2 linked regions of the Tamandua tetradactyla genome follow. The protein of the gene in region 2 purifies or fractionates together with the protein of the main gene of each other region. This does not show direct contact. Links are inferred from orthologs where the notes say so. Each region holds a gene or a part of one and is shown on either strand. Other genes may lie near its edges.

Region 1 (7,488 bases), on a different chromosome or scaffold from region 2:
TATTTCCTGTCAGTTGTGTTTCCATAGAGCACCCTAATACATGTTGCATGTGTGAACCAGAATCTCAATCCCCTACCCCCCACCCACCCTCACACTCACCATCCTTTACTTTCCAGTAGGAAGGGTTACACACCCAACTCACCATTAGGTCAAAATCTTCTTTTTAAAATGAATGCAGATGATGTGGGAAGCCACATCTATGTCAATGGGGAGCAGATACAGTTCAAAAAAGGTAAGTTCTCATTTAATTTTAAAATCCCAAGAGAAAGGAATGTTCATGTTTCTCTCCCAACTTCCTCTGACACATCAGCATTTTATTCCCTTCTACTTGTAATAATTCTAAAGTGAAAAGGTCAAAGGGGAGAATGCCTGCATTAGGGACAGTGGGAACAGGGGCAGTCAGTGAATAATATGGCAAGCCCCAAATACTGAGGTCTGGTCATTTCCACAGCGAAACGATCACAACCCTCAGGAAGGTGTGTGCAAACAAAGCTTTAGGAGCCTGACCTGTGATTTTAACATAGATTTTAAAACAGATTTTAACACAGATCAAGGTAACAATTAATTTGAAAAATCTAAGAAATGGATTAAACGCACTCAAATCAAATTAACATACTATAATATGAACTTGCAGACTTTTTACCCTGATTAGTCTTACTCCTATGGCCATCTGACTCTGGAGAGCACCTTAACAGCTGATGAGCCATTTAAAAATTTTACAGAAAGCAAAAAAGCCAGGGTGTACCTCCTTTTTCTAAGCCAATCTGCTCTTACATTAATTAGTCTGGTACAGACATTAGCAGCTGAAGATGTCTAAGCACCCCCTTCATATTTTGCAAGAAGTAAAGTGAATACTTAGAACATGTGATTTTTAAAAGCTAGACCAGTAAGGACCACAAAACTAGTTCTATGCTTTCTACTAACTTCCTTTCAGTTGGCAGAATGTAAGCCAGCCATTATCCAAACCACCCATTTTAAATATGTTTGGAAGAGCAATCCTGAACATCAGCAGACACTCCTCACAAGAAACAGCATACTTCTAAGGTTGGGTGATACTAACTTATTTTGACTGAGACGTTCCTGAAGACAACACCCTATGATGCGGCACACCCAGGATTTGGGACCCTACCCCAGGTTCATGGGCAAGACCCACCTATGCCCTCAAATGTGAGGTCACCAGAAAACCTCAATGCTAATAAGACAATACACTTCTACCAATGCGGCCAGATTTGTGATGAGCATTTAAACCATTTAATTCCTCTTAGTTTTCGACCCAGCTAATGCTACAGGTTTCAAGTTCGTACAGTTCTAGCTACTTACAGCAGTATTCCTGAAAACTCAAATTAACTGGTAACACCATACATGCAGTAACACTTTGTTAAATACTAGAAGACATCAAGGCAGAAGGACCGAGTGGTAGCTTACACTCCTTCAGATATACTGCAGGAAACATCAGAACCTCTGATAAAAACAGCAAGCAGAAAAAACTGCTGACCGCCAGTTCTGAAAACACAACTACAAATGACAACTCTCAACATCAGGAGTGACACCAACCACACAGCTCAACAGTAACTTCTGAGACTACCCCAAAGCTTCTGAATTCCTTTCATTTCCTGCTATGAGTTCTTGTGCAATTCTGCTCAGTTCATTTAAACAGCAACTTCCTTTTCCCTTTGATGAAATGGGGAGAGTGCCACCTAGCTCAGAAGTGCTGTTTGAATTAATTACTTAATAGTTTAAATACTTTATAATTAAGCCTTATTAACAAAATTACGTTCTAAATGCCAGAACAACCCGAATTGTGCAACAAGAAAGCATTAAGTCACCTCTGCTAGGAAGACTGCTTAGATCCTATGAACAAATTGTTTTATATGTGGGTTAAAAATTCACCAGCTTGGAAAGAAAGAGTCTTATCTATTCCCAGTGACATTCAAGGAGGAAATCCTGGAATTAAAGTAAGGATAAATCAGTTCTCTAAAGGCCACAGTAGCCTTGAGTGCAGACTTAGAAGGCAGTTCTTTAAGCTTGGTGTTCCTATGAAGTGTTCATAGACCCGAATTATATCTTCAGACGGAACTCTGGGTTTCTCTTGAAGTCCACAGACTTCAAGACCCAAGCATTCAATCAGGAAATACAAGGGAACGCAGCTGCCCTCAAGCAGCTCCAATCAGGCCATTCCTCCCCTCCCCCAGCAGCACCCAGGCCAACTCCAGATCCGACTCCCACTTTCAGAGCAAACAGGAACTGGAGTCAGGAGGCCTGGGTTCAAACCCTAGATTTGTGACCTTGACCGAGTCACGGAGCTGTTCCGAGCCTCGGTTTCTTGATCCTGGGAGTGAGATTTGCAAAATTCCCTTTTCAGAGGTTTGCACCCGAGGGTGCTTGGAGGAAGCTCACTAAACGTTCACCCGCCCTGTGGGAGACACCCCCTACTTCGAACCCTACGTACCCCGCTTCCTCCTCCGCCCTCCCACAGCCAAATGACTCAAAGGCTCCGGCTCGGGCTTCCTTTCCCTTCGCCAGTTACCGACAGTGACTCCCGCCCGAACGAGCAGTTCTGAACAGAGGAGAAAGCAAACCTTTCGGCTGCGCAAGTGGAGAGGGCTCGAAAGGAGCAGGAAATGAAGGCTTTTTAAAGGAAAAGCCCACATCCCTAGGAGGCCAAGAGCGAAAGCCCGGATTTCCGGATTTCGGGACCAGCGAGGGAGAGGCCGCTACGGCTGCGGGCGAAGACGCTCTGCTGCCTTTAGCAGGATGTGAGGCCAGCGAGGGAGACTCAGGAGGCCCCGACGAGCCCTCCGCGCCAGCCCCGGCTCCGCGCCGCCCGCCCAGTGGCCTCAGCCTTGCCACCTCCCGTCCCGCCGCCGCCGCCGCCGCCGCGGGTGGACAGGGACTCACGCACGAGCCCCAGGGCCAGCCCAGCTGCTCGCGCGCCCTCCCGCCGCACTGCCCCTCACCCCTCGGCGGCCGCGGCGGCTGCTGCTGTTGCTGGTGCTGCTGCTCCGAGCCAGGCGTTGGTTTCGCTCCCACAAGATGGCGGCTCTGACGGCGGCCACGTCAGTGCCTGGTGCCGCGGGTGACGCCGGGTAATTGGGGGCGGGGATATGGTATGCCCCGCCCATTCCCCCGCTCGCGGCGCGCATGCGTAACTCAGGGGGCGGGGTCGAGGGTGCGTCGCCACGCCCCGTGTCCTGCGTGCTCCGCCTCCCCCCCCGCGCGGACCTACACCCGGGGGCGCTCCGTCTGCATTTCCCTTGAAGGTTCGGTGCTGAGGCCGCGCGGCGCATTTACGGATGTGGACCTCGGGGCCGAGGTGCCATAGCGCGCCCCCTCCTCCGACCCGGGTCGGTCGCCGTCCGGTAGCCGGGATTCCGGGCTCATCTCCGCGCCGCGGCTCTTTCTCCGCCCTCTTCAGGGTCCGGGCGCCCGTGGCGGGCCGGAGACAAGGCCGCGCGGTCGTGGAGCCAGGCCGGGTATTGTGGAAACCGTTGCCACCAACAGGTGGCCACAAGCGGGAAAGGGGGTTTCCAGGGCGCCCGCAGGTTCCAGCACTGGGCGCCTACTTGCCCCTCCCCGGCCTTTGTGCCCACGGTACAGCCGGTGACCGCAACAGACATGTGCCTGCACCCTGGAGCTGACAGTATGATAAAAACGTAAATGATTTACTGAGTCAGGGGATACAGGGTTCCGAGCGTGGAATAGTGACGGCCAGGGTTCCTCTACTGGGGTGTGGCCTTGGAACTGTGATCCGTGTGACAGGAGAGGGCACGATGTGTGAAGGTGGGGAAAGGAGGAGCCTTTTCCGAGAAGCCTCCCTGGGCTGATCCAGAGGGAAGAGGGGACGAGAGCGGGCTCTCCCCCGCGTTTCCAAGGCATGAGGGCTTGGCTCTGTTCCTCCCTTTGGAAACTCACTTGGGCCTCTCGCCTATCCCCAGTGCTCCTTACTTGTTTTTGTACTGCCTGGGCTCTCTCCTCCTGCCACCCTGTGCTGTTGTGAGATGTATCTCCCATTCCGGAGGTTTTGGTGAAATTACTGGGAGAGCTTTGCAGCCCCGTGCCCAAGTGTTCAAAGAGGCAGAAAACGGGGTCATCATTTGTGCCCTGCTGCAATCACCTCTATTCAAGCAGCAGGCCAGGGGCCTGCCTGGAAGAGGCATCAAAGCCAGGCCCTGAGGGTTTCACAGGGCCTGGCAGGAGGCTTCCCAACCCTCTGTGCACTCATTGCACGCCCACTCCTCTTGGGCAGGGCCAGGACCCACTGACTGTGGGATGATGACATCGCACCAGCCCTGCCCTGAGGCTGCACCTGCCGGGCTGTGATCACCTCAGAGAGTGATGACCCTGTGCCTTCCTGTCCCCACTAAGAATCTTACTCCTGGGACCAAGACAACCCAAACGCTCGACGCTGGTGAACAGGCCTCTGCCCGTCCTGCCCTCCAGCCCAGTTGTAACCCCCAGATCTGGTCATTTCTAAGAACCAAACTCAGGCCACACCTCTGCCCCTGCCCCCACATCTCCCCCTGCAGTCACCTCCATCCCACTGCTACGTTTAGGAGTCTCTGTCCCACCCCCAGATACCCCACAGTGCTCATGCAGAGCGTCCCATAGGGATGTGAGTCTCCAGGGAGGGGTGTGGAGGGCCATAGTACCTTCTGGTGATGTGAACTCCCCACTCCCAGGGAGCAGGTCCCTGACCAGACGCCTCTCTGATTACAACCCCTTTAGAGCTAAGGAAACCACAGAAGAGAGTGGAGAGGAGACAGTGGAGGGTCCAGCGACCCTGGTTGTGGACGAAGGCTCTCCTCCCCTTTCTTTAAAATGGCAAAAAAAAATTTTTGTGTGGAAACTGTCATACACAGGAAGGAAGCGAGTTATTTAAAAAATAAAATGAATTCCTGTGGACCCACCCCAGGGTAAGAAATTTAATTCCTCCTGAGTCTATCCTACTAGTTTTGTCCCCCTAGGGTAAGGGTGTCTTTGGGCCAGAGAGGTAGTAAAGAAGCCCCGGGAAGTGGGCCTTAGAGGGGTGCCCGCCCAGCTTAGGCCAGGAGGGGGCGCATAGTCTCAGGCCAGCTGGGGCCATGTGAGATGACAGGAGGGTGAGGCTTGGAGGTGGAGGGCAAACCCCACATTCCACCATGAGGCTGGGAATCCCCCAGCTCCGGTCTTCATCTTCAACCCAACCACTGGCCAGGGACTTGCTGGGACCCAGGATTGGACTCTTCCCCTCGGGGATGCTCGAATGACCAGGGTCAAACAGGAAAATGTCCTGGGAAAGGTGGGCTGGAAGGACAAGACAGAACCGGCCTGAACGGAAGAGTGGCTTCCCCATGCAGTGACACCAAGCTGGTGGGCCAGGTTAGCTGGAGGGAGGTGGGAAGAGGAGGTGATCCTATCTATACTAAAGGACCCTAGCCCTAACCTAGGGATGGACATAAGTCCTGCAAGCTCGCCATGCAAGCTCTTGTGTGTGGATCCAGGCTCAGGGAGGTCAGGAAACACACCCAAGGTCACACGGTTAATATTTAGCCCCACCCTTCAACATGACCCCTAGTCTTGTGCAGCCCCCACCTTTGCCCTTTCCACTGCCCTCCACCCCGACAGCCTCTGGAAGGGGGAGCTCAGAGGTCATTGACTTCAGTGCTGCTGCAGGCTGAAACTACTTGAACTGCTCACTGCTGTCCAAGGTAACCAGCCAGTGGTCATCTGCCCACTCTGCCTCCTTCTGGGGAGTCAGGAGGAGATGGGGGCTGGAGTAGGGGGCCAAATGACTGGCGAGCTGGACTTCAGTCTTTTCCAAGAGCCCGACACCCACACCATGTCTCCAACCCACTCCAAGATGGCCCTGTCCTTCCTGGGTCCTGGGGCCAGCCCTGCCTGTACCCTCACTGGCTTGTGCCATGTGGGGAGCTTGGGTCATGAGAGGAGATGGGTTTCCCTACGGAGAACACAGTAGCTAAAAGGCTCATGAGGACCACTGTCCAGTTCCAGGAGATGGGAGAGAACTGATTCAGGGGACCACTCTCACCTCCAGTCCCTTTTAGCATCACCTGATTCCCCCTAACAAACAAGTCTGCTCCTGTCTCGATTCCCCCATCAGGGAAAGTGCTTGGGACCAGACCCCAAAGCCAGGGTCACTCTGGCCTGCCCTTATGTTCATCCCTAGGGCTCCAAGGTGAATGCCCAGTGCAACCCATGGTCTCCTCACTCCTGGTCCAGCTCATGGACCCCTTTCAATTCCCAGGAACAGGCCAGGGCCTCTCCTGCCTCTGGGCCTTTGCATTTGCTGTTCCCTCTGCCTGGGATGCTGTTCCAGGGTAGAACCCCTGCAGACTCCTGCAGTGGGCCTTCACCAGGCAAGGTGGCGTCCTTGATGGTGTCTGCAGGGGTCTCCACATGCCTCTCTTCTGCTTTGTCGCTGCTTTTCCCTGGAATGCCCACTGCAGGTGGCAAGGACTTGTGTCTGCTCCATTTTTGGCCACTCCCGAGGCAGCTCAGGGACCACGAACTTGAGTGGGGAAGAGCACATCGTTCTTTCACTAACCTCTGGCTGACATTTGGCATTTCCTCCCACTTCCAATGGAGGCACCACACAAAAACAGGAGGGTAAGCAGGACCTGTGATTTGCAACGGGTAGAAACCTCAGGTATTTTCATGTCACATTAGAGCTGTTGCAAGAATCTCAAAATATTGTTTATGCTCTTCACTAAGCTGAAATTAAGGAGGCTGTCAGCCTGTTGCCAGCTCTCCTTATTGAAGGTGTCAGTGACAAAGACTTTATTACTAGATCAGATTTCCCCCCTTTCTCCACAAGGCTTTAGTTTTTCTTTCTGTTTTGTTACCGCTTTGCCGAGATATAATTGTAAGACAATAAGCCGGTACATAGTTAGAGAGTACAATTTGATAAGTTTTGATCTGTGTGAACACACCTCCATCAAGATATTGAAAAATCTGTCACCCCCAAAAGTTATTATACCACAAAGCTTAAAGCTTTTGCTAACTGTACTGGGTTTTTTTGTTTTTTTGTTTTTGTAATAAAGGGTATTTATTTTATGCATTAATAAAAGCTCAGGGGTAAGTAAATAAAAGTAAAAGGGTCCCCAGGCTTCACTGGACTGCTGGAGTGGTCCCTGGCTGGGGTCTCCCGGCTCTGGCTCTTGACAGAGAAGCCACAGAGGGGAGGTTGGGGACCTCAGCAGACAGGCTGCTGCTGCATTTGGACATCCGGAGAAGCCACAGAGGGGAGGTTGGGGACCTCAGCAGACAGGCTACTGCTGCATTTGGACATCCTTCCATCTGCCGCCCAGCCTGGGTAACTGGCCTCTGCTCTGAGCCTTATCTTTTATTGTTTTTTTGTGTTTTGCATGGGCAGGCACTGGGAATTGAACCCGGGTCTCTGGCTTGGCAGGCAAGAACTCTGCCTACTGAGCCACCGTGGCCCACCCTCTGATCCTCCTCTTTTAAAGTGGGAGCGATGAGGGTCACTCT
Region 2 (7,687 bases):
GGTGAGCCCAGGGTCACAGGCATTAGCAGCAAAAGGGGAAGGAATTTGGGATTCTGGAATCCTAAACAGCCACTAACTTCTGCTCTGTTGGCCACTGACATAACACAGTCTTTATGTAGCCAGTTGGATCTGCTTTGGCCATGTTGATTATTAAAAGATTGAAACCCTTTCTTCACAGTCCGTGAATACACCCACCCCCAAAAAACAGACTGACCTCCCAGCCCTCCCAAGTCCCCCCTCCCCAGCTTCCCACAACGACCAGTTAACACCTGAGTCAGCAGAGGGTCTCCAGGACCCTATCCCAGCCTCTCCACCCCTGCACAGAACCACTTTCCACCTTAGTTTTCCTTTTCTGAAAAGTGAGGGAGTGGAACTGACTGAGTTGCATTATGTTTGTAATTATGTTAAATTATTTACGCCTCAAGAAGAGGACAAGACCAGGAAAATAAAAATCCGAAAACAATTCATTTGTTGGCAGAGAAGAGGGGGAAATCTCAATGATGTCTTTCTGGGTCTGTTAAATGGGCGTAATGAGATTAGCTACTTCACAGAGTTGTTTTGAGGATTAAATGTATTCAAATTTGTAAAAGCTTAGAAGAGTGCCTGGCGTAAAGTAAGCAACACATAAGTGTTTACTGAATAAACAAATCATTTAATACTGGCACTAAAATGTTTATTCAATACATTTAAAACTTAAGAAAGGTTCACAACAGAAAGAAAAACAATCGTGATGCTATGAAACACTTACATAACATATACTGTTGTTTAATAATCCAACACTAAAACATCTGGACTCCAGAATTTTACATTGAATTCAGGGAAATGAACACATCAGAATGCATTCCCATTGTAGCTATGATACAATGATTTGCATGATTCCCTTCTAATTAGAAATGTCAAAGATGTATGAGAAATTCAAGTTATGGGTTTCCTATTTTAACCCTGCAACAACATTTAGCCATTTTCTGGCAGGGGAATAAATGTAGCTTTGTGGTGCTAAGACCTAAAGTTTTGTAATCAGAAAACCAGGCCTTATTCAACTTCTGCTTCTCTCTTGACACTATGAGTCAGCCTAACTGCAAGTTTAAAGAGCCATTTCTTCGATGCTTGGTCCTATAGCATCCAACTTTTGTAAACACCTGGAGTGGCCAGGAAATTACTACACCCAGAAGCTAGCTTGATCAAAACTGCTTTTAGTTACTAAGCAACTGAGCTCGAGCTTAATTTAGACAGATGCGATGCACTGCAAAGGGAGACAAAATTGACTATTTTATCTTTCTGTTAGATATTCAGAGAAGGAAACCATCCAACAATAACTCCTTTATCTATTCCTCCCTCTTTATTACTTAACAATAACCTTATAGCCACATTTAAATAGTTACAAGCTTATCCTCAGATAGTAATTTATTAGACCTTCCCTGATGAAGAAAAGACTTAATAGATGTAGTTTAGGCATGGATTTCCACCTTTCCTCTTAAAAGTATATTTCTCTAAAGCTATGAAAAAAACTCATGCCTTGCTTAATGAGAAAAAGAAAGCTATCATTAACACCCTATAGAGTTAAAGGTAAATAAACTTTTTAACCACCATTTTATATTAAGAAACACCCAGTAAGTAATCAGAGACTTCTCCAACAAGCACAGTTTCCCACCGTCAAGGTCGTGAATCAATAAGCCTAAATGTATGTTATACAGCAGGGATCACTGTTCATAAATATTCTGACATCAGGGACAAGCATGCTAAAAACACATTTTCCCAAAAGCCTTAACTACTCATGCTTTTTATAGGAATTCTAAATTGTACTGCATCCTGAGAAGTCAGGCTGGGAGTTCACACAATAAGTTAAAGGATCACCAAACAACACTTACAGGCTGAGTACAAATTCAGGCTAAAAGACTGTGCAAATTCATTTGTGTATATGCTACAAAACATTTAATCCTGAATTAGATTCTTGTTAAAATACGCAGGATGTAAAGGTGGCATCTTTTCACAGTTCACACGGAAGCATTCTTTTCATTCCTTTAAGTTTTAAGTGCACCACCCATAGTTAAAACCCCATTTAACACACCACGGAAGTCTGGGTTATCTCAACTGAAATTGGCAGGCCTGGCTGATAAAGTTAACGGAACTCCGCACTCTGCGGAGAGAAGAAAAGATGATCAAATGCAGCAACGCCTGCGTTACTTCGGAATCCACTTGCATTTAATGCTTTACAGAGGAAGTAAAAAGAACCCAACAGCCCAAGATTAGGAGAAGTAAACGCAGGCGTGGCAGTAGAGCTGGACTGATTCTACCAGGGCGGCTCTGAAGGGCTTCTCAAAATCCAGTGGAAGTCGCGGGGAACCGCGCTCCTGGATCCGAGAAGAGTGTTGCAAATATCTCGAACCCGGAGCGAGGAGAACAAGCCCTAGAACACACGCGGGGCCCCAGGTCCTCCGCGCCTGCCCCAGCCTCGGTGTCATCCCATCGCGGGTCCCGTGGGAGCGGCTGTGTGACCACCTGCCCCGGACCATGCACCTGGCCAACTCCCACCCTCGGCACGTGGCACTTCCTGGTCGGTTCGGGATGCTGGTCCCAGCGCGACCGCCATCCCGGCCAGCCCAGAGCGCACGCAGAGGCTGTGTCGGCGCGGCCCGGCGCGACCCGGGGTCGCGCGAGATGGCCTGGGGCCACCGGACAGGCTGCACCCCAGGGCCCCAGCGCAGCTCCGAGCTTCGGGCAGTCGCGCGCCTCGGCAAAGCTGCGCGCCCAAGTTGTCGGCGCTGAAGGACGTGGGCCCAAAGGCGTGCCCAGGAGGCCCCCGGGGGCCCCGAGGAGGCGCGATCGCGCCAGGCCCCAGCGGCGCTGGCGCCTGCCGCATACGCAGCTGCCAAGGTCCCGTCCAAGTTGGGCGGGGAGCGGCCAGCCGCCCGGGAGGAGGGCCGGAGCGCCAGGGCGGCGGGAACCAGGCTCCCCGGAGCCCCGAGAGCCTGGGGCGCGCTGCGTCTCTTACCTGCCTCGCCAGGGCGGCAGCGGGCACCTGCACGGCCTCCGCGGACTACGGGGCTCGGGCCCAGCCGGCGCAGCTGGAGCGACCGGGGGGGGGGGCGGGTAGCAGAGAAAAAGCAGGGGTGCTGGAAGGGGCCCCGCGCCCTGCGCCGCCCGGAACTGGCCTCCAGGCTGCGCCCCGGCTTCGCAGGGGTGGAGCGAGGCGGTGCCGGGTGCCGGGCGCGTCGTGGCTGCCACTGGCCGCCACGGCGGGGCAGGAAGGCCCCGGCCACTAGGCGTCTCTCCTTGTCCCCGTTTTTTTATTCTCTCTTTTTCCCGGAGTTTCATAACCCGACCCCATCAGCCTAAGGAATGTTCCCTAGCCATTGTTATCGTTTCGGGTTCTCTTGAGTCCCCACGTGCCCGGGCATCGTTCTAGGAGCTTCGCCTACATGATCCATCTGGTCCACTGCAGCTGGTAGCCACTCGAGGCCCTGTCATACAAATAAAGAAATAGCGGCCCAAAAAAGTTGAAATAACTTGCCTGAGGTGATACAATTCAGAAGTAGGAGCTTTCTGGCCTCACCTCTAAACCTTCTTGCAACTCCCTGAACGGCCCACCTTAAAACGCAGGAGACTGGAATTTGTGTTTTGATGTCTCTAAAGCCCGAGCTCAGTATAATTCAGAAATTGGGAGTGAAATATGGAAAATTCTCATCCCACCCGTGGAACGCTCCAAATCCAGCAATCTTTGCCATTTTCAGTACACTTAAAATAGAGTTTTATGAAAAAGAGAACCAGTTGGCTTGAACAGCAGCCCTTTGGGGATATGTTTTTTGAATATAGGCCAGCCCCTAGCTTATTACACAGTACTGCCTCCTGCCAAGGCTGAAGGAAGCAATCGTCTCCACATACCCCAAATTTCATACCGATGGCACTTCTAACGGGTTTAGTGGATATTACACAGCCCAGACTGTCAGAGATACACAAGGTCTTATTGCACATGGAGCAACATGAAATGAAAAACATAATAATCCAGCCCAAAGTAGACAGACAGGCTGAAATTATCGTCTGGAACTCCTTTTTCTGTAATCTATGGTTGCTCAGCCCTCCCTGGACTACATTTTTCTCCCTTGAGCACATCTTTTCCTAATGAGGGAAGAGTCATACAGCCTTGTCACCCTTTCCTTGCTGAAAGAGATGATTGATGTCTTTTGAATCTTATGATACTGACAGATTTTTACAATTAAGCACATGGCCCTCTGAGCAAACAGAACATTGCCTAAGAGGAGTTTGGCAAGTTTAAGACAAGCATGTTATTGAAAGCCTGAAAACCCTCTTTCCTCCCCTTCCTTCTCAAGTTTTATTAGTCACAGATGATTTGATATGTATTATTCACACAAGTGACTATACTCTTGGAGCTTGTCCTTAGAAATTATAACACTTATGGTTGAGAAGCAGCATGCTATAAAATTGCATCCCAAATTCCTAAGTATCATCATTTAAAATAAACATTTGGCACAAACCTACAAACAATAGGTTTTCTATTAAATGTAACTAGAAATAAAATTATTTAAAAGCCCCCCAAATTTAATCTCTGGCTTTCTGACTAGAATAAAATAGAAACATGCTATATGTTGTTTAGAGATGAACTTGAGCTATGGATTGCCAAAGGTAAGTTTTATAGTAGTATGATTCTGTATGTAATTATTTTTATATTCCTCAGGTATTTGCTGGGGATTTTTCCCCCCAATCCTTCACACATTCAAAGATGTCAAAAAAAAGAGTCACTAAGAAATCCTGTTATATATCTAGCTAGATATGCATTTGACTTTTTTATCAGACATATTAAAATCATCTTAATTTTTCTCCTTTTCTCTGAGAATAAAAGTAACAGATGTTCACTGAAAAAAAACTTGGAGATCATAGAAAAACAAAATCACCTATAATATTACACACACACCCATTGTTAATATTTTGATATATTTCTTTTTTATTTTTTATATACATTAATAAAGGCTTATGTAAAATTAACATCATGTTGTACAGTTTAGAATCCTACTTATTTCACTGAATATATGTGTGTGTGTGTGTGTGCGCAATGAGCATTTTTGCCATCATTAAATTTTCTTTAAAAATATAATTTTGAATGGTTGTGGAATATTCCAATCACTTATGTATCTGTTCATCTATTTATCCCTTTTAGAATGTCTTCAGACATTTCTGAAGTTTGGAGATCATGTTGGAACGAGCACTATGGATATCGGTCTTTGTTGAGTCTCTAGGTTCTTTAGGATAGATTCCTGAGTGTGGAAAACTAGATCTACATTCATAAATGTTTTTGAGGTTCTGTGAGTCTTATCTTGCTTGTAAACTTGAAAATGTGATGGATCAATATAACATCTTGCTTTAATCAGCATTTCTTTGATTATCAGTAATGCTGAACACAGTTTGCTTCGTGTTTATTGGTTATTTGTATCATTGAGAATGACCTATTCATGTCTGTTGCCTGTTTTTTTCCCTATGGTAATATTATTGTTCTTCCTATTAATTTGCATTAATGCTTTTAATAAAAACAAAACTACTCTGCAAAGTTTGCATACCGATGTGCTCCCCAAGATTTTCCCTTGTGGTACTTATTCTGTTTCTATACTGTCCAGATGACCTCCGTCCTTTTGGGATGCCCAGCATCCACCATCTTTTCTGATAGTTTCATTTTCTTATAGAGAATTACTTCTTCCCAACTGTGCATATCCTTGGCAGAAAGACAATTTGGGGCTGCACTATCCAAGCCAAAAGGCAGATCTGTCCACTATATTGCCATCACCATCCTATCCCCCTTATAGTCTAGCTCCATGGGCTGACTCTCACAGCGCAAGGGGCCCTGCCAGGTTTGGATTTGGGCTCATGGAGCAAAGGCAGAAGTGGCTGTAGCAGTATTCATTAAAAAAACAAAAACTCTACTATCATAGAATTGAGAGGCACTTACTATAGAAAACACAGGATTAAGAACACAGCCTTTTTAGAAAATAAGAATTAGTAGTTCCTCTAAGTTTGACAAGTCTGAAATGTACTCTACCATGACCTAAGCAGCAACTTTGTCCATAGTACAAAATGTTTCCATGATCACTCATCATCTCATTACAAAGAACCATAAATAGTTTACAGTAGGTTAAAGGTCTGGCTTTTATAATGTCATCTACGTCGCTGCCATCCTCTGGCAATTTGTGCATGAGTAGCTTAAACTTCTTTGCTGCATGAGTTTCTTGCCTTTGAATGATGCAGTAAATAAATGCCATTGGTGGTCATCACTCTGTCCCCTTAGCCCAGAATCCATATTTTGTTCTAGCTAAAGTAGCTGTTCCCTCAGTAGTTACAATGACACAGTTTTCCACAAAACATTGCTTCTATTTTGAAAATCATATACTGTTGGGAATGTTGCTCTCCTTCCACACGCCTTTCCTCTGTGCAGCCCTACCAGAGCTACATACTTTACTGTTTAACCCTAAGCCTTTACTATCTTGACATGGAGTTAATTCAACATTGCAAAAATATACAGTGAACTAACAATCAATAAAGGAGAACAAAAAGAAAGTAATTTATAGTAGAATATCTCTCCAAACCTAACATGCTCAAACAGACCGCTCTAGAAGACATTATGGAGGAATCAGATGTTTGCATGACTTATAATTAATGTGTTTTTATTTGCAAGAAGTATAACAGTTTTCACCTGTTTATTTTCTACACCACTGCTTTAAGTAGCAAGTCGCCACCATTTCTCTATACTGACGCTTGAATGTGACAGTTACAACTGCAGACTAAAAAAGATGTCGCCATTCGCTGCATGATTTTCCAAAAATTAACTTTACATGAACAATGCTTAGTAAAGTTCCAAAGTACAATTTTCCCTCGATTTGTAAACTGTTTGTGTTCCCTTAAAATGCAGTGTATATTAAAAATATGCCAAAATATTTGTGGTTTATATGAAAAAGATTGTTAAGTTCTGGGCTCAGAGAATCAGCAGGTTTTTCACTTACATGAATGCCTGGTAAGACCTTTGAAAGTTTTCTGGGACCAGGGACAACTCTTCATTGTTCAGGACGACTGTGTCCCATGCACAGCAGAGCTTCTAGTCTCCCCCTCCACCCCGGCCTCCACCCGCTAAATACTAGTAAGTAGCCTCCAATCATTGTATTGATCAAAAATGTCCTCTAATTTCCAGAAGGTTCCAAGGGGGCAGTATGGCCCCTGTTGATTGCCAGTGCTTGAGTGAAACATAAAAATCCCTCTAGTATTTAATTAAAGCACAATCTAGCATAAATTGGGATATTATAGAAACAGCCATTCTTTCCTCCAACAGTATACACTACACTGTGTAGTTTGTTCTAAAAAACTTTGGATTCTTAAATTTTGCGATTTATTCATCTTTCAAAGTTATTTGTTTGGTCCCATATTGTCTTCCTTGTATTATTTAATTATTTTTACTTCAGCAAGAAAAGCATGAGGGACGGCGTCTATGTCCATCAACATATTTTATTTACACTGAATTTCTTTCTTCCTTTTTAGATAAAAATAAATAACAATTCTAATATTTTTCTCCCCATTCTGCAGAGTATGGCGAAACCAGCTCTTTCCCCCAAGCTGTATAATTTAACACTTGCTCTTAGAAATTCTGATTTACAGGCAACAAACAAATATAAATTCTAACCAAAGGCTGTAT

Evidence for each region.
Region 1: the proteins of PLD1 (region 2) and ARF1 purify together in Homo sapiens (affinity purification with western blotting; 3 studies listed by BioGRID, with this or other methods). This does not show direct contact. The link is inferred for Tamandua tetradactyla from reciprocal best matches to the Homo sapiens genes PLD1 and ARF1.

What each region holds. Positions count from the first base shown.
Region 1 is NC_135346.1:63,009,756-63,017,243, forward strand, and holds the start of ARF1 (ADP-ribosylation factor 1), read right to left. Parts: upstream 3,090-7,488; 5' UTR 2,958-3,089; intron 2,772-2,957; exon of another isoform or gene 2,580-2,771; intron 1-2,579. UniProt on the Homo sapiens protein: Small GTPase involved in protein trafficking between different compartments. Modulates vesicle budding and uncoating within the Golgi complex. In its GTP-bound form, triggers the recruitment of coatomer proteins to the Golgi membrane.
Region 2 is NC_135331.1:69,252,646-69,260,332, forward strand, and holds the start of PLD1 (phospholipase D1), read right to left. Parts: upstream 3,095-7,687; 5' UTR 2,993-3,094; intron 1-2,992. UniProt on the Homo sapiens protein: Function as phospholipase selective for phosphatidylcholine. Implicated as a critical step in numerous cellular pathways, including signal transduction, membrane trafficking, and the regulation of mitosis.